2 linked regions of the Styela clava genome follow. The protein of the gene in region 2 interacts with the protein of the main gene of each other region in a pairwise test. Links are inferred from orthologs where the notes say so. Each region holds a gene or a part of one and is shown on either strand. Other genes may lie near its edges. The genes, in order: axin interactor, dorsalization-associated protein-like; PIN2/TERF1-interacting telomerase inhibitor 1-like.

Region 1 (10,059 bases), on a different chromosome or scaffold from region 2:
ACCGGAAATTTTGATGAAAACATTTATTGGCCAGGATAGAAAATCTCATTTGTAAATTGTTATAAAAAACCAGACATAATTACTAATACTACTTCATCATTTGACAATTACCTACAAATTCTAGTCATTTCATATTAGAAACAAAAATATGGGTTTTGATATACTGAACATAAATAAATATAACATCAGTATCAATATGACCATTTTAGCAAATTGAATATTTGATAAATAATTTTGATATTCTACTTTATAATTAGCCAAAGCGAGAAAAAAAAATCATTCACAATGACTAGACAGAATTTAATATTCATTCAACAATTCACTTGAATTACACAAATATTTGAACTCTTTTAAAAGCTTGTAAATGTATTTTGAGAATACTATTTTCTGGTGTTAATCTAGAGATAATATACCTACTTCTAGACATTTTTTCAATGCAAATTTGTATTTCAACATCAATGCCAAAATATAGGAATGTATCGTCTCTTTTTGCAGCTGTGGGTGTCTTTTGTGATTGACATAAATCAACACCTGCAATATCTGTTAAGACAAGAGAAAAAAGGGATAATACACAGATTAAGTGTAATGAAATTATTGTGGTATGGCCTTATAAGTGTTTTCATCTGTATCTGTGATATATCAATCGCTACACTTACAATTCTTACACCAAATGGAAAAAAATTTAAGGAGGATGTCTGCAATTGGTGAGAATAGTATTGTTTGTGACAGATAAAGCGATATTTCAGAAATAAAATAAAAGGTTTCCATATCCAGAACAAACATTTTGAAATCATTCAACAGTTTTCAATAATTGTCAAATTCTAATATAGTATCAATAATTCTTCAATATGGATCGGTTTTCACCAGTTTTTCGGTGCGTAAAAAATATCTTCTCTCAGTAATTGATGAACCAACTAATTTCAAAATTGAAATTGAACAGTGACTGAAGATTGAAGTAGAGGTCTAAAAACTTTTATTTTCTTTCCGCATACTCAAATAATATGTGAGATAATCATCTGTAAGAGGATTACTGGACTAATTGCTGACTTGAAGATCTACATGTAACCACTTGCATCGTGGCCCCCTTCCGGGGCTTTTAGCACTCATGACACCCCTGTTTATCATTCCAGTGATATTTCTAGTGTGATTTTGATTGGTAGATTCTAAATTCCATCATGTTCGAACAATCAATGCTCAACGAAGTGAAAACACTCTGTGAAATAACCTTATTAAGCAAAGAAACTAGAAAAAACGGGGAGTTTTCTTGTAAAGGGAAAAGTAAAATCAGCTTGTGGCCCTCCTCCAACTGCCCTGTGGCCCCCGGTCGAGAACCGCTGGCTCAGAGCTTCCCCCAGCAATAATGCATCTAAAATTTAGTCCTGCTTTTTACTTGCAGTAAAAAAAATTCAGGATTAGGTGAGCATGTTAATCCAATGTAGAATGAATACTTTTCCATAATTGGAGAATTCAATTGAAATTTGGAATATTTTATGATTCACTTATATATTTATAAATGGAACAGAATATTACTAGTCATCACCTTTACAAGATACGACAAAGAAGGGATCGATATGACTTGAAGCATCTTTCAAACCAATTTTTTCAATCCGAACCGTCACTAGTGTTTCATTTTGATCAGCAATTAATCTTGGAAGAAGTGAATTGACTGGAAAACAAATTTGAGCAAATTCAATGGAGATGTAAGAAAGTTATTCCAGACATTTTTGCATATTGAAATTGCATACATTGTAATGTTCAAAAGTAGACTTTAAACTTCAGTATAGAAGACCAATAACCATGGATCAATGTTAACATAGTGTCTTCAAACTTTATAACATTTAGAATTTCATGAAATAGGGGGCTATAATATATTGAATACCTTATATTTAAAAATATTATGAAAAATGAATGCTGTTCGAGCTGGTAGCACTTCTAGTCATAGATTGGAGCAATAAGTATTTCAACAAAAAATTGGAGAAGTTTAAACAACAAAATTATTCGTTAGCTTTTTCTTTCAAAACCTTGTTTTCAAGTTTTGCCCTAATGATTTAAAGCCTTCACAATATTGGAATAGTCTCATGGAGTTTACTTTATGCCTAACATGATTATCACCCATAATAAAATTGAAAAGAAATTCCATTACAACTAATATCAAACATATGGTGAGCCTCATAGTGGAACAATGCAAAATTTAAAAAAAAATCCAAATGTATTTTTATATTATTACATAAACATTACAATAAAACAGTACAATACAACAAGTGAGATGATTATATCATTGTCATTTCAATAAAATGGTAAAAAGCACAAAAAATAACCAATATTCACATGAGGATGTTGCGAGTTGCGTTACTGATTCTTCTTCTGGATTTGTTGACACAGGTTCAGGTGATGGTGTGGTTACTAATCTGAACATTCATAAAAGATTTGACTTATTTCACGAGTGATTTTCACTAATATTTTAGACTTTATTTTCTATAATCCTATCAGAGTTTCATTTTTAAGAAACTCTGAGATTTCACAAAATTAGTTTTTGAGTTTGCGAAATATTACCAATACATAACATTGCACTGTTAATTCAAATTTTATATAATGTATCGGTATATAATTATTACAATATGATTCACTCACCTTAGACCTTTCATCTGACGATTTATTTCCTCTGGTATTTCTGGTTTCTTACTCTTCAGCAAATTTTTCATTACTAAAGATAAGATAAAGAGTAATAAAATCAGCATTCGTTCATTGTTCAGCTCTCATCAATGGTAGGTCACACCTACACAGGTTGTCAGCACTCTATTGATCAGGGTTTTTTCTAACAGGGCCTTCAGCTCTCTAGGATGGCATTGAGTGATTCTCTGGGGGCAAAAGCCTTTTCTTCATTTCAGCCTTCAATTTCTGAAGAGTCTCTAAAAAGGGGCCATGATCATGAAAGTTTGAGAACTTCTACACAAGATAGATGACCATTTTTCATCATTTAGAGTAACTAAAATAGTCTAAAACCATTCATCTGATAGAATCAATGCATATTGATGACAAAAACCAACTATGCCATGTGTAACCTGATAGCACTGGAACATAAAATATTTATGAGAATAGCTACATGATAATCAAAATCAACAAAGCAGGTAACAAATGACATGATTCAATGTATTACTATCACATAGGGTAATATGTAATTATCAATGGCCCATTTCATGATATAAAAATGTCATTGCCTACAGTTCAGAAGAATATTTTTCATCAACAACATATTTTGATCATAATTTATCTAGAATAATCAGGGGCAGACAATAATGACTACTACAAACCTTCTAACAATTTCTTAATTTCTGCTAAATCAATATCTGGAGGTGATTTCATCATTTGCAATGATTTTGCTCGAATTTCCAAGCATGAAGCAACTTTTCTTATTATTTTCTGTAAAACCAAACGTAATTATTACTTATGAGTTGGTGAACAAATTGTGTTTTATGAACTTCTAATAAATTAAATAAAGAAATGATAAACCAATAAAAAATGCTGTATAATACCCACTACATTGCCATATTGAATTATGATTACATATGTGTTGTGATAGGCATTCATGTCTGTGTAATTGAATCAATATTTTAAACTTCCCAAAGTCGAAAGTCGAAAACAAAATTTTTCGAAGTCAATAAATCAAACTTTGGATGGAGATAATCAGGAACTCAAAATGTACCAAGTTGACAGAGCATCCCCAATAGGCAATTACGAAATATTTGTTTTTTCGGTAAAAAAGTGAGTCATAATTTCCTTTATCCTGAAGTTGGACCTTTTTTATTGAGTGTCAGGGATTTTTTAAATGGCTCAATTCAAGAGTAAGGAGTTGTTATTACCTATAGTATTTATCAAAAAGTCATGCATGCTGCATGCTTTGTTATGTACGAGTGTAAACTTAATCAGACTGAACCTAATATATTGGTTATTTATTGAGTAACGTTTCCGCTTATAATCCAGATAATCAAACAGTATATTTACAAATACAACAGACATCTCCTGATTTTTGAGTGCCCCTGGTAGAAGTGATAGTTCAGTATATCACTTGCCATTGCAAGCATAGAATTTTCTCCTTTGGTTGATCGTTTTAACTATCGATTTTAACACAAAGTTCTAACTTTAGCAAGCCTTGTGTGTTTTTTGCTATGTGATTCTTATCAAAGATAAATATATATTTATGGGGAATAATAGCTTACAGATTTATCTTCATCAAATGTTTTTTGATCAACTGCTGTTGCAGCTTTCATCATTCGTGCCAATCTGCAAAGTAGAACAATTATCAAATAAAAATTGTATTGAAAATATGAATTGAAAATCATTTATCCAATGTTATTACTCACTAGAAAGAGTCCACAATCAGACTATGAAAACAAAACTGGACATTTTACTTCAATTTTTCCAACTCATTAACCTACCTTGAATATTCATCCGCTGCTTCCACTAGTTGTCCCCAGGAATCAAAATCTGTTGCTTGTTGAAATTTTTGATTCCAAGTGCCAACCAGTTTTTCAATTTCAGATTTTGACATTATGAAAAAAATAGGCTTATTTCAAATATCGGTAATTGAAATCCGAAATAATGGAACCCTGATATACTATACTGATTTTCAGACAAGCAGAGTCTGTTGTAAAACTGATCTATAAAATTAGTCTAAATAAGTGAAGCCAAATTTAGCCAAAGAGAAATATTTTAGATGAAAGAAATAAAATGTCATCTAAACTTGGTCATTATTCGGTACGGTATCTTGCGGGAAGATGGGAAATTACATAACACTGTTATATGCAATTCTCTCATATTTTTCACCAAAAATATTTCAAACGAGTTAATCAATCAATTTTATTTTGGTCACTCTGAAAGAAACGAAACAACAACAAACGGACAAACAAAATGCAGAGGAACTGGAGGACGGGCATAACCACATCAAACATATTTCAAACAAGTTAATCATTTTATAGGCACATATGAATCGAATTTGTATGATTAAAATATGAAGAACACATATATTTTCATAATGCTGCTAAGCCTCTCAAGGAATAATCGAGTGAACAGCCCTTTATCGCAATAATTATAACTAACAGGCGCGGCGGTGTGGCTCAACGGGCTAAGCGTTAGGAATACGCTCGCCACCGCACCTCTAACTACTCTGCGTGGGTTCGCAGGTTCGAATCCCATGCAGGGATGGTTATGTGCGAGAGGATTGCTGGACTCCTCGCCGTCGTTGGGTGGTTCACCTAACCGCTGGTCGGTTACGGCTTCCTCCACCACCAAGTCCATGCTTCCGAAAACAAACAATACAGTAAATCTAATCCCATACCCGACTTGGAATGGTAACCGGACGAGAGGCCGTGGTTCGCCATATGGATAAGCCGTCTTATCGGCTTTCCTCTCCCCCGGGATAAATATGTAAATCCTATCCTATCCTCCTATCCTAACTGGCAATTAGCATTCGGCATTACTGCATTACGAAATCGCGTCAACTACACTGCAAAAATTGAAAGGGGATTCCCCCTTTTAGCAGTCCGTGACGTCATAACGAATGGATTTCGTTATTCATTCGTAACGACTAACGACTCATCAGCATTTCACAATTTAACCATTACATGTATCACGGTAAACCAACGACTAACATACCAGAGTAAACTGATTGTCGGCGATGTTCTGACTTTTGTCAAATGAAACGTTACAAAATAAAATTTGTGAAAGTGTGACGCCAGATATATTATAACCACTCTATATGGCCGTTTTGATTCTTGCTACAATACCCTTGCATACGAATCGACAAACAACTATTTTTTTTTTCGTGGCCCATTTTTGTTGCCCAAAAACTTTTTATTGCAAGGAGAAAACAACAAGAAAATCAAGATCTGTCTGCTAAAATGGACTCTCAAACGTTCATAATTAGTATGGGAATTACCTTCCAGTAGTAGAGAACAGCATCGTCATTGATTGCTGCTACAATCAAAAGTAACTATTGTGACATAAATGAAACTAGCAATTTCTAATAGTTCTGTGGCCAACCTCTTTGGCCCAACAGTGGGCCATGGCAGTTAAGCTTAAACTGAAATTCGCCAAACATGCATAATTTAGAGTTTTATTTGACCTTTTTTAGTTACATTCCCAAATCTCATCATTCGACAGTTTGGATGAATGTCAGTGCAGCTGCGGCATTTCGTAAACGAGCCACAACAAAGTCGAAATAGAACATTTCGGAATCCGCTATCAATAAAATGATAATTTGAAGTTGCAGGTCGTAACGTTTGCATCTACAAGTATGAAATTCAGATGTCTCGCAAAGTGAGTCACACAACCACTTGATCAAATGTGTATATTATTTCTATAGCATTTGTGTGTCTGGGAGATAAATATGAAATCCTCATCTATTTCGATTTGTCATCCCATTCGTACTCCAGTTGGCGATGAATTTCGCATACTGAACTGAGCTGTTTTTGTTTTATATTCAAGATAGTTCTTATTGGACCGAGTAGTACCAAATTGAATATAATAGTTACAGAAGGATAGCAAAGGCACGAAAATCGATCGTCGCTACTAACATCCATCAGCCTAATATCAGTAACTCCCAATTTGGTTTCCGAAATGCACATTCTACAGAGCTTGCTGTAGTCAAACTAAAAGAATCAATATTGAATAATTTATCAGATAATAAAGTAACTTGTGCTATTTTCCTAGATTTGGCAAAGGCATTCGATACGGTTGACCACACTATTTTATTATACAAATTGTCCCATTATGGCATACGTGGATTGCCACTTAATCTAATTCGATCTTATTTAACGAAGCGTCAACAATTCATTGAATCGAATGGTTACAAATCTTCCCTTCAATATGTATCTTGTGGAGTCCCATAAGGTAGCACTCTTGGTTCCCTACTATTTTTAGTCTACATCAATGACCTTCCTACTACCAGTGCGTTCGATACCACACTATTCGCTGATGATACAGCTCTGCTTGACTCTGCCACAAATATTGTAGATCTCCAACATGCAATGAATTTGAAAATAAAGCAAATTGACCATTGGTTGAAACTAAATAAATTGTCGCTTAACTATTCGAAAACAAAATTCATGGTTTTTGGGTCTGGGAAAAATATAAGGTTTGAAAACTTTAAATTAGAAGTTGGCACAATTAGCTTGGAAAGAACAAGTACTATAAAATATTTGGGAATAGTTCTGGATGAAAAACTTAATTGGAAAAATCACATAGATTACCTTTCGAAAAAACTTTCTCAATCACTTGGAATGCTTTATAAATTAAGGAGATTTGTAAATCTTGAAACCCTTAAAATAGTTTATAATAGCCTGGCCTTTTCACATCTTCGATATGGTATATTATGTTGGGGTAACGCGACAAAAACTGCTTTAAGACCCCTCGCCGTTTTACAAAATAAGATGATTAGATGTATGATGTACCGAGAGTCATCTAGACAAATACGTATAAATAATGCAAAACTGTATCATCATTGTGAATTTCTTCAATTGAAAGAACTCTACATAAGTGAAGTGGGAAAATTTATGTATCGTTATGAAAATGTGCTGCTGCCAGAGTATTTTCAAAACTTTTTTGTCAAAATTTCAAATATCCATCCGTATGAGACCAGGAGTACATCAAATAAATTGTATTTCACCCCGCGATATCAATCTTCATGCATGAAGAAATCGCTCAAGCTGGAAGGTATTAATGTATGGCAAAGTATTCCACAGAGTATGAAACAGTGTTCCCCACAATTATTTGATCGCAAACTAAAACAACATTTATTAGCGGATTATAATGTGATGCAGTGACGTTCAAATCTCAGTGTATGCTATCAGATTCATAAAATGGATAGGAAATCACCATTTTATAGATGTATGTCTCTGTGAAAATTATTGAAGATACTATTATATATAGTCTGAAGTGTTCATATGTACTATATGTCTATATAGCTTTGGAAATATGGTATTTTAAATTTTTCACCCATTCATAGAAACTGCCTCATTTCCTCATTTTCACTATTTGATTTTTGTCGAACATAAAGTAAAATTAAATTTGAGGAAATTATAATTAGGCTTACGCCCTTCTTAATTTTTCACTTCTTTTCGCATTTTATTTACTATTAAAAAAAAGTATAACCTGCATAATCATGCGATGTTCTTTTTTCTTGTAATTTTCAATCTTTGATTGATACCACCCTATTTGCAAATTAAAACAGCATTTCAGCGGATCATAATATGATGCAATATCATGCAAATCTCAGTGTATGCTATCAGATTTATAAAATGGATAGGAATTCACAATCTTATATATGGATTCTTCATATGTCTTTGTGAAAATTTTTGAAGATACTATTATATATAGTCTGCAGTAATAATTATATGTACTATATAGCTTGGGAAGTATGATATTTTTAATTTTTCACCTATTCATAGAAATTGCCTCATTCTCACGATTTGATTCTTGTCTATCATAAAGTATAATTTTTGTAATTAGCCCGACGCCCTTCTTATTCTTTCTCGCATTTTTAATTACTATTGAAAACATGATCTGCGTAATCATGTGATGTTCTTGTTCCTTGTAATTTTTATTTCTATTCAAATACTTTCTCGGGGAATTGATTTCTGGGGCCTCTTAACCGGGCTTAAAACTCAAAAATTTATATTTCTTCTATTGTAATTATGATGCCTGCTTTAGAGTGTCCTGTCTTGGTAGAATCTTACCTTAGGGGTCGGTCGACCTTGTTAGTCTTGCCCGTCCCCTTCCGTATACATTTTTATGCGTATTGTTATTTGCTCATGCCTATTGTATTATGTACTTGTATCGGAAATAAATCATTATCTATCTATCTAATAATATTATCCAGATTTTATTTTGTGAACCTTTGCTCATATGTCTAGCATGGATTCTCGTTATGAGGCAACAAATTATTACAAAAAAAGATGAACTGCTCACGCACGTCGTAAACATTCTTTTTTTATTTCATAATAAAAACATTACATTTATATAGACACAATAATGCATAAATATCATTGCACTTAAACATTCTTATCACACCAAACTGAAATGCGCCCGCGGGATCTATCCTTCTCGAGGACGCGGATTGCATTGATTATTATTAGGCAGAGTTAGTATTAGGCGTTGTTGTAACATCACGCCTCAAGTTTGGTTCAAGCAATGGTCTTCTTTTCTGGGTATTACATTTTTATCATTTTATCACGATCAAGTTCTCACTCCCGCCATCGCAGTGTTTGTTTACTACGTACGACACGAACACGCTCAGCGCCCGCGGGTGAAGCGCATTGCATCATTGTTTTGATCATTGTGCAATGTCAGCTGACGTGACTGAGTTCATGTCCTGGGACCAATTACTGCCGGCCTTGCTTTTTATTGGCCAATCAAAATGGCTACCCTGGCTCACGTGAGATGGCGTATCATGAAATCACCGCCTCTTTGTTGATCAAAACAAACCCGGTCTTTGTTATGAGACAGCGTTGCGCCGGCCGGGACGTGGAAACACGGGAAACCAGTCAAGTTCGGGCAGCTGGTTAATTAATAAGAAAAAATGGATTAACGATGTAGGATTAGTACAGTATTATCAAATTTTTATATCAGTGCGGTGTTAATATGATTAGTTTTGAGTTCCTGTTTTTTTGAATTGTGTGTTACCGTATTCTGTTATTAGACCTGTAGACGTATTGCTGTATTGTATTGACAGTTTGATGAGTAACGACCGAACGAGACCGTCTAATTCTGTAATTGCTATCTCATGTCGCAACAACCAATGTGTACCGGTACGGTACGTTTACGAACGGTACGGTATATCAGTATATTTCTGTGTTTTGCTCAGCACTTTACTGCTTTAGCAGTTCAGGTGATGCCATATACCAGTACCTGGTATACTGAAATATCTGTCTGCCGGTAGCCATAGACAGCATTAACCTTTTGAAAATGATACAGACATCTATTTTGTAATGCAGTACCGTAATGTTACGGTCTGAGGTCTGACGGTAAATTACAAAATTATACTGACAGAAGGCTGGTAGAGGA
Region 2 (10,354 bases):
AAACATTTCGTCACTAAAATCGAAACACGGTCAATTGTGAGCGGGATTTGCCTTTTTATCCATTACTTTTAAATTGACGTCGAAAATTTTCGTGTTAACATTAAACAAAGCTGACAACGCGACTTTTCCCCGGTTTGTGATGATATATAAGATAATTAAAGTATATTCGATCCCTTTTTATATTTATTTATGTATTTTTATTGTACTGAAATAACTTTTACTACGTGAGAATTGACAAAAAAGTTATGGATTTTTCGAAAGGTTTTATCTTTAAAAATAATCGAAGTGACAACATTGCGATTGGTGCCAGTGTTACAAGTAAATCTCAAATTTATCGAATTCGCAAAATAGCAAAAATACGGATCAAAACAATATATAAACGGGCAGTTTACCACACATTTTTATGTCCGCGGATTGCCGTCGTGTGTTAGAATGGCTCTTGTTTTGTCGACTCAACCGTAGTTTAAATTGAAGACAATTAAAATAATAAATCAAGACATTTTGAATATGCCCGTATCGGTCTTCGATTGATTACTTTGCACAAGTGAAAAATCATTTTTCGTTGATAAAGTCGGCTCTTTTAACAAGTGGCGTAATCGCGGCGACTGTTCCGCGTGGATTTCGAGGCGGTGAATTTGTATTTTTGATTTACTAGTATACTTTATAATTATTTTCATTGTATGAAGTAAAATTAACTATATGGGATTTTATACCAGATATCGAGATTTTTGTAACGGCGATAACGAGTTCGGAAGATTGCAAAAATAGGTATCAAAATTAAATACATCAGGCAGCTTATCTCATATTTTTATTTCCCCATATCGCCGTGGTACTTTAGTTTAGTAATATTTTTATTTTGACCTAAGAAGTCGCAACCGCGAGTTACGCTGCACACAATTAAATTAATATATAAGGACATTTTAGAATCTCGTGGCTCTCATGGATCGACAGAAAAAACATTATACGCTTAAATAGGCGGCTCTTTTAACTAGCGCGTAATCGCGGTGCTTGTTGCAGACGGCAATGGGATGTTCCGACCTCAAATTTGTTATTTTCTGTTTGTTAGCAAAAGCCGTGGGCTAATTCTCGCGGAATTCAAGAAATTGGTTCAGTGACGCGCAAGTTCCGTGTCCGAGCAAAGCAGCCTAGGTAATCGATATATGAGTAGCAAAATGACATGCTAATACTTAGAGAATGACATCGACAGGTTACTGTTACGTGACGATACACGGCGCGGTGTTTTTCGGTAGGCGATCCAATTTCGCCCCCCCAAAATTATGGAAAGTGTCCGCCCCTGTGCCCACCACCTAATGAATTGTTTTTACTACGTTACCTTCTTTTTAATTGCAGCCATTCTTAGTGCAAAATATTCTTGCACACTTATTGTAGAAGTTACATGATTGGTTGCATTATTTTTTGGGGATTCTTTTTCAGTAGTTTTCTTTTTTTTTGATTTCTTCTTTTTCTTGCTTTCTGGGCAGGATGAAGTGCTGTCTGCATCAGATATTTCATCCTACATGAATCAGAAATAAAGATTTCGCGATCAGCAACAACACAAAAAATCAGTGTTTCCAAAATTGATAATATTTTTATGTTTGAAGCGAATTTGATACAAGAGAATTTTCTTTCAGATATAAATATCGAAAATTTTTTAGGTTTTTATCCATTATAGTACACTTACTCTGAATTAAAAAAGCCAAGAAACATATCAATGGCCCAACCCCAATGTTTAAAAAATAATCACCTCTGACAAATTGATAGGTGTAACAGGCTCACTCTTGGATGCTGTTTTTCCAAATATTGCTGCAAGATCAGTCTCTTTGTAATTGGAAAGGTCTTTACCTAGAAAATAACAACAATCCAGTGTGAAAATGGTGTGATAAAATGGATAGTCTATGCCGAACTGGGAAGATTAATTTCCTTTCAAATAATAGTAGCTACTTAAATATCCCGAGATATCAGGGCCTTGTTTTGGGGCAAAAGGCACGTTTATGACACTTGAAAATTAGCTGATATATTATTCTTCTCTATTTTTACCATACCTCTTGCAAATTTGTGATAATGTACTCTCTTTTGTGATTTAGATTTCTTTTCAAGGCTGGAGACACCTGTGGAATAAACAAAAATGATGTATATATATAGGGACGATATAATATAACGATCTTATCAGCTTCTATTCTTCTTGACAAAAATAAGAAAATCTAACTTATTCTAGTACTTTATAGATTACCTCTATCACTATTTTGGCTAGCAAAGTTAATTTTAAAACTTGTAGCAAAGGTGAAATGGGTAGCAATGCATTGTGTGGCATGCGACCTTGGATGTTTTGCAAATTTTTTTCTGCCTTCATATTACAGCAAACAAATTACTGGTTAACTTGATCACATTGTTTTAATAGGAAGGCACATTAGTACAAGTTGCATAGAAAATGTTTGAAATAGAAATTTTTAATAATAAAAATGACCTGTTTTGTAACATATCATGATATACGAATATACTTCAATTTTATGCGAAAATGGAAGATTTCGAAGTGTTATTGTGAAAAGTGATCTTGTTTGATCAACATAGATTTTTGAATACAACAAAATGGTGTAAACAAAACTCATAAATGATATCAAATTTATAGTTGGTCATGAAGCAAGACTGCAATACATTCATTTTTTTCTGATTTTTTTTATCCCATCTTCAAATTGCCATACAAGTATTGAGGCAAAGTGATTGTTATTTATAGTACATAATCTCAAAAATATGAATAAATAATTAAGTTCTCGAATATACCATTCATGTTTTTCACGTCAGTTTGATCGGAGTGATGATTGTTCAATTGTGCTAGTAAATCTGCAAAGTCATCCTGATGAGCAACCCAATTTTGCTGTCAAATAGGAATTCAAATGAAATATTCAAAATATAACTATTAAACATTATAGGGGTTCAATTATTGTATTAGCTTTCCGGAGAAAGATATAAACATGTGATTTGGTGATCTACTAGTCTGAATATAAGTTACCTAAACCTTCATCCTGGGACTGGCACCCTCCGCAGTGACTAACTACTCTAATTTTAACTATAAAATGAATGAAATTGTGAACCCACTTCTTGCTTTATCGAACATCCAACTCCACGATTATCATTTTTATGTTTAATTTTAATGTGTGCGATTCTCCCATCTTCATTCGCTCCCAGTCCCTGAAATATTTGGGAGCAAAGTAAAGAAAATGCTATTCATTACAGAAGATTGCAGAATTATATCATTCTATGATGATACTAATACGGGTCTTACTACTTACTGAATACAGCGCGAAACACCGCAAAGAGCGCAAAACAGCGCAAAATAGCGCGAAGCAGCGCAAAACAGAGGAAACCAGCGCGAAACAGAAGGAAACCAGCGCAAAACAGAAGGAAACCAGCGCAAAACAGAGGGAAACAGCGCAAAAAAGGAGACGCAGTCATTACCACCTCCTGCCACGAAAGAACCACGGCGCCTCTCGCCATGGTTTTATGGCGCTATTTCCGGCATATTTACAAGGTTATGTACCGGATTATAGGTCATCATGCGAAATTTTATCTACCTTTTTGGTGCTCCAGAAGTATGTGCAATATGTCGCACAACCAGAATCCGCTACACACACACACACACACATACAATTTCAGGTTGTGCGCCATCTTGGTGCACATACTTCTGGAGGTCCCCTTTTACCTAACCCTAACCCTAAAGCCAACCATATCCATATGGAAAATGTTCTAAATTATGGTACCCAAAATGTGTCACCAGCAGGGGCATACCTGCCATTACAGCATTACTGACTACATACGTTGGTTTGTGATTTTAATTTGCTGCCGTGGTACTCCAACTCAAAACAAGGTGCCCCGAACTCATTGCAAAATTTTTTTCTGCTTCACACTGTTTCCCTCTATTTCGCGCTGTTTTGCGCGGTTTCCACACTGTTTTCCTTTGTTTTGCGCTGTTTCGCGCTCTTTGCGGTGTTTCGCGCTGTATTCAGTAAGTACAGAAGTAGTAAGACCGTACTAATACTGCTGTTTGCATTTTCATCATTTTTGCAATAATACACAAAAAACTATTAAAAGTTGAACCAATGAAGTTAGATAATGGTAATGGAGTAAAAGGAAAATTGTTGATTTGATTCACTCAATAAAGGTCTCATCGAATTCTAGCACTGGTATTTACTATCGACGGCTATCCATCACTTTACACAAAATACACCTTCAAAACCAATTATCTATTTATGGTGGCATTATCACTGAGTCAATACGATAGTACTGTACCTATAGTACGGTACCGGTAACGATATGGCATATTCTAGTGCTGTAGTGCTGGTTGAAGTCAAAAAAATTATTAAATTTGTATACACAAAAATCATGAAATTGCAGAAAGAAAGATAAGCAGTTGACTGTGACCATACGGTACCGTACCTTGCCTTTGGTCCAACCCATTCTTTCAAGCATTTTCACACCAAATTTGTTTTCGTCTTTTGACCAGTTTGTGCCATTTGGGTCTATTGACCACTTTTTCTTATCTCGACCTGAAATATAAAAATATGTTAGAACGTTTAGAAGTTCAACTAGCCAAGACTACAATACACAAATCAAACAAATGCTGCATTTCATTTTCAAAAACTGGTTCTCCTCCAAGGTAAATCCTTACTGTACCTGTACCTACGGCACTGACTTAATTAAGTATATTTAACTAGGTCAAATGCTGGTACCCGGTACGCCGTTGTTTCAGTGTTTGTTTGTAGCCAACGCTAGAAATGAACATCACATGAAATTTTCGCTGAATAGCAAAAATCTACTTACTTTCTGCAAGCATTGACATGTTGTGAATCCCTGTCAGTCCTTTCGCTTGTTACAATCAACAACGCCGAAAACTAGGTAAAACGGACTATTTCGTGGACGTCCGCGCTTGCCAGCATGTGGTCATTGACTGTGCAGCGCTTCACATGTGGTTCGAGTCGTTTTCCGGTTACCTAGCATATTTGAAATCTGATGGTCTTGTTCGATTATGTGACTTTTATTATTATTATGATGATGCCTTCAGACACAATAAATTAGTGGAAATCATAAAAACGATCATTAAGTCAGCAGAGTTGGAACAATTACATTAATTCAGTTCAATTACAATTATTTACTCCCTTAAATGTTTCAATTACATTACAATTCCTCTGTGCAAAAAATATCAAATTACATTTACAATTATAACATTTTGGTTCGTATTCACATTTTCACTTGCTCAAAAACTGTCTGATTGCGCTTGATGAAGATTAGACAGCAAAAAGTTTCTGACCCCAATAAATTTCTTCTTGCCGTATAAAAGTTAAAAAAAACTCGTACTGACGAGGCTGCTGTTGCTGTTAGTCCCAAATAATTCTTGGCTAAAGAAGCAAGCGTGGGAAATTCTTCTTATTTATTTTCCAATACATTAATGAGTCTTCATCAAATTGCAGATTTTTTTCTCCCAAATATCTATCTACTTCACTTGATTTCCTTGGTCTTTTCTTTTTAAATCTTCTGCCATCGCTGAGAAGAAGTAGTCTAAAAAAATGACTTGTTAGGTGGTTGGCTATGATCAACCTTAGCCTTCATCGTGTTTTTCTGGTGTTTTCTTTTGAAATTCATATATTTAGGATATAGATGGGGATAACATCTCTTCAAGTGCGTGATCAAGTTTGACGAGCTTTGGTTGAGAACTTAACTTTCTTTTTGCAGTGATTACAGCATGCCTCAGTGCTGCTCAAAGATTTAAAAAAAAACTGACATTGGTGCAGGAAATGGTTCAACACAGATTTCGGAAGAGTTTGTTTGATGTTCATCTTTTCTTAAAATACCAAGATTTAGTCTATTTGAAAGTGTAATTGAGCCGAAATTTGAGCAAATTACAGTTACAATTACACAGAATGAAAATGCCTCCATTACATTACAATTACATGAAAAACTGTAATTAATTACATCAATTACAACTGATCCAACTCTGTAAGTCAGTTCGCTGAGTTGTCATAAACAAAGAGAAACATGTTTCATCCCCCGTGTTTCCCCGAAAATAAGATAGGGTCTTATTACAATTTTCTTTCGAAATATAACACTAGAGCTTATTTTTTATCAAAAACAAAATCACAAAGTAGAGAATTACGAGATTTCCCAATATACAATTGAAAACCAATATTCATTTACCTATAAATTACACGTTTTAGATAATCAACGTGTAGGGAAGATTCTTGTTGAGGACTAGGTCGAAAAAAAAATCGCGCCATCGACTAGGTCTCTCTCTAGGAGGGTTTATTTTCGGGGAAACATGGTAACTCGCTAGGAGGCGGGGGGCATGTCCGAATTGCACTTTAAAAATGCACGAGATGCAAGTCTGGGCGTGTTCCGAACCGACCGGAGGATAAATTGAAAGAAAAAAAAACGACGATCAAAACGTTCTGACGGGACATGGCATCGCAAAAAAATTGAGAAGGATTCACCTCTACCTTTGACGGAAAAAAACAAGATGGCGACGATTAGAAATGCCCAATCCTAATAGCAACGATAAAAGTAATACTGAGTACTGACAATGATAATAAAGAGGCATTGGAATTTCCATCGCTAGTAGGTATAAATGGTTAAAGTGATACATCCGCTAACCGTCCTGGCATAGGTGTCTTGATATTTATTTTTGCGGATCCGCTTACAATGGAAACATCTCGTTAAGTTTTGGGTGGCTCTAAAAAGAGCCGTTGTGATTGGCAAAACTTATAACAGCTTATTTGGAGCTGGTGTACTTTGTCACGGCCTTGGTTCCCTCAGAAACTGCGTGTTTTGCAAGTTCACCGGGAAGAAGCAAGCGAACTGCGGTTTGCACTTCGCGACTGCTGATGGTACGCCTTTTGTTGTAATGCGCAAGTCGAGAGGCCTCGCCACAGATTCTTTCGAACAGGTCGTTTACGAAAGAATTCATGATGTTCATGCTTCTCCTGGAGATGCCGGTGTCTGGGTGAACCTGCTTCAGAACTTTGTAGATGTAAATGCCGAAGCTTTCTTTGCGCTTCCTTCGAGCTTTCCTGGCATCCTTTTTGGCATTGACTTGTTTCACAACCTTCTTTGCTCCTTTTGTGGGGGCCATTTCCGCTATACGTGTTTGTATAATCAAAAACGAAGTATGACGGTAATCGGAGACATGCCTTATTTATAGGCTTTGGTATGCAAATTAGGGGTATTCTGAAGATTTGCTGAACTTTTCCCCGGGTGGTTTACGCGGCCGATAGTAGTCTTCGCCCACGCACATCTACCTTGAATGTTGTTCTTGATAAATATTTTTTTCAGGTTCGCGAGACATAGATTATTTCGATCACTCTATTTGTTACACATAAGATAAAATATAGAGATTTCTAGTTGTCAAGCCAAACCTCGCATCGAGTTCACTTACAAACACAAAAAACGCATGTAAACTATAAAGGATCAAATATCATAACAATGAAAAATACACGAAGATATCGTTTGGGCTGTTGTACATTAGAAACTTCATAACTAATAAGTTAAATTTTATCAATTAGCATCGTTATGTTTCCAGTTTTGGTTAGAATTGTTCAGCCTGCAGACGAGCACATCTAAAATATGCGTACAACTCGCATATAACTTTAATGAACTAAGACCATCGCACCAACTTAATCCAGAACCCTTGGCTGCTTATTTAAATTTTAAAATAAATCCGAAACTAAGCCAGTCAACCATTATGATATAATCTAAAGTTTTCATGTTCTACACTTTTGTTTGAAAAACTGTAAATAATAATATTGACTCTAGGAATTACAGTTCGAGGTTCAAGTATCAGTTGGGCTATAAGCAGTGGTGGGATTCAGCCGGTTCGCACCGTTTCTATAGAACCGTCTCACGGAATTTTATGAGATCAGCATACCGGTTAGCATTATTTAAAAAAACATGTAACAGAACCGGCCGAAAAATATGATTTTTGTGATGGAACCGGCTGACAAAAAATTTGAATCCCACCACTGGCTATAAGTTATAAAAAATAACCGACTTAAAAAAATTATAGTGTAGAATAGAGATGTACCGAGACCACTTTTGTCGCCGATACCGATCCGATACCAGCTAAAAAGGCCGATACTGATACGCCGATATTCAAAAACGACCGATATTCCGATATTATGTAACTATTAGGCTACCTCAAGTGTAATTTTTACCTTTCAGCCTTATTAATAGTGCACATTATTTCGGATCAAAAAAGAGTAATATATATATTTATATACATATCACACACATTAAGTAGTATTAAGAAGTAGATGTTTGAGATCCAAATGCGTTAATTGATTCAGATGCACTGGCGCTAGTAATCTCAGTGTTCAAATAGATTTATTAGAAAACTAATAGAATTTGGCTAATGTTGGTGGTAAAACAAATAAATGTTCAGCCTACTTACCGTATGAAACTGATACATTGAGTTACATGCGCAGGAAGGATTTTGTGCCAATATAACGTCATATTTTATATTTTAAATATTGGAGCATGCACTAATATTCGATCGATATATTTTTTCATAATTACCATGTAATATTAAAAATTTTGATATAAAAATTTGGCAGTGAAATTACTAAAATTGATTGAGCCAGTTTTGCTAATAAATGGCTAAAAACAGGTCAAAATCCGATTCCCGTTTCTACTAGCCGGGGTGGGGACGTGCATGGCTCATAGTTCACGACCTATCCAAGCAAAAAATAATTTCAAGATTAGTATTTTAACCTATTTTTTAAAACATTCTGGATCATATTATTGAGAAGCTAAATATATCGGAAATATCGGTCTAAATGTAGCCGATACCGATGCACTACCGAAAAATTGGCCGATACATCTCTAGTGTAAAATCGCGTGTCAGCAAATATCAATCCACGCGAGACTTAAAACAGCAGTTCTTACCAGTATGACATGAAAACAACTAGGAAGAGAAACTTAGCGCATAACTTCTCTGGGTCTGGCCAAAGCGTATATATAATATGAATTACTGTTCAAAAAAGCAACAAACCTGGTTAAAATATATTCAGGACTCACTTCATAACAAAATTAAAATTGTAAAGACTGTTACGTCACGATCCACAGGATCCAAGTATTATTGTTTGGCAATAATATTGTTGCCACGTGTAGGCGCTGTTAAGTCGAGTTCGCCGCCATTAATGGATATTGCACCATACTTTGCTGCTGTTTTGCTGCCAAGTCAAGTTTTTAAAGTTTCTTTGTGTTGGTATTATTGTGATTTAATTATTGCTGTTTATTGTGTTTATCTTGTAGATGACTTAGACATCTAAATTAGTTAGTAAGTGGATCTATTGGGTTGTTGCCCTTGGTGTTAAGATATTGAGCCGTACATTTGTTACTGTGAAGAAATTGTACTGATGTTTCCAGAATGTATTATGCAATGATTTTTGGGTAAGAATGCTAGTACTTTAAGTTGCATAATTTGAAGTTCACTGATGTATGTGTTTTCTTACCCGGTGTCATAAATATTATCGGTATGTTATTTATATTTGGATCATTGCTGAATTTGGTATTATTTAGTTTTATAAGTGTTCTAAGACATATTATTTTGTTTTAGAAAACCGTCTTCCATCTTTCATTTCCGTCTATTGTGATGTTTGTGTATTGCTGAGCATTTCATGTTATGCTTCGAATTACAATTTCATTACAAGTTTTCAACAATTGGTTGTGTTTGGACAAGGATTTGGGAGATGCGTTTTCGATTTGTTAGTTTTTCCTATGTGACGCCTTGTGCTACCGGGTCACGTTGAAAGGGAGGTTACAAAGACTTTATGGATACTGTGTATTAAAATTTTCCGCGACGCCCTAAGCGCGACTCTTATCGGGTCTTACGATCAAAAACGGCATTGTTATGCGTGCGCGCCGCTCCTCTGATCCGATGTATTCTATCGAAATCGTGACATTTATGTTTCGCCTTAATTTTTTAATTGTGGTTCGCATCAAAAGTCTAAAAAAGTACAATATATATGATACTTTGTGTGAAACTAGTGTACTCCTTGCGACGCCTAAAATTTATGGAAGCCATGAGTGCTAAAAGCCTCTGGAGGGAACCACGGGCTATAAAAGGTTTGGAACCACTGCTATACACAGTTAGGGTACGCTTCTTGTGGGGCAATCGGAATCATCTCGCACTATTCGTGTACCACCTGCTCAGGGAATTTTAACAAGTATATCGCGCTCATCTCCATTAGTTTTAAACTGTGAAATTGGCGATCAAGCGTTTCCATGCTACTTATTTCAACCTCTCGCGACATCCAAATGCATAATTCATGCGTAAATGCCCAGTTTCAAAGCCATTGCTGGGTCTGGCGAA

The links.
Region 1: the proteins of PIN2/TERF1-interacting telomerase inhibitor 1-like (region 2) and axin interactor, dorsalization-associated protein-like interact in binary tests that used the Homo sapiens proteins (3 or more experiments, as listed by UniProt). The link is inferred for Styela clava from reciprocal best matches to the Homo sapiens genes PINX1 and AIDA.

The regions. Positions count from the first base shown.
Region 1 is NC_135251.1:23,634,078-23,644,136, reverse strand, and holds the start of axin interactor, dorsalization-associated protein-like, read right to left. Parts: upstream 4,703-10,059; 5' UTR 4,550-4,702; coding exon 4,437-4,549; intron 4,282-4,436; coding exon 4,218-4,281; intron 3,421-4,217; coding exon 3,312-3,420; intron 2,705-3,311; coding exon 2,632-2,704; intron 2,409-2,631; coding exon 2,329-2,408; intron 1,667-2,328; coding exon 1,541-1,666; intron 541-1,540; coding exon 418-540; intron 1-417. UniProt on the Homo sapiens protein: Acts as a ventralizing factor during embryogenesis. Inhibits axin-mediated JNK activation by binding axin and disrupting axin homodimerization. This in turn antagonizes a Wnt/beta-catenin-independent dorsalization pathway activated by AXIN/JNK-signaling.
Region 2 is NC_135264.1:9,953,802-9,964,155, reverse strand, and holds the start of PIN2/TERF1-interacting telomerase inhibitor 1-like, read right to left. Parts: upstream 4,974-10,354; 5' UTR 4,835-4,973; coding exon 4,816-4,834; intron 4,542-4,815; coding exon 4,432-4,541; intron 3,187-4,431; coding exon 3,094-3,186; intron 2,873-3,093; coding exon 2,779-2,872; intron 2,109-2,778; coding exon 2,043-2,108; intron 1,843-2,042; coding exon 1,745-1,842; intron 1,514-1,744; coding exon 1,334-1,513; intron 1-1,333. Other genes in the region: histone H2B type 2-F-like, read right to left, coding at 6,758-7,117. UniProt on the Homo sapiens protein: Microtubule-binding protein essential for faithful chromosome segregation. Mediates TRF1 and TERT accumulation in nucleolus and enhances TRF1 binding to telomeres. Inhibits telomerase activity. May inhibit cell proliferation and act as tumor suppressor.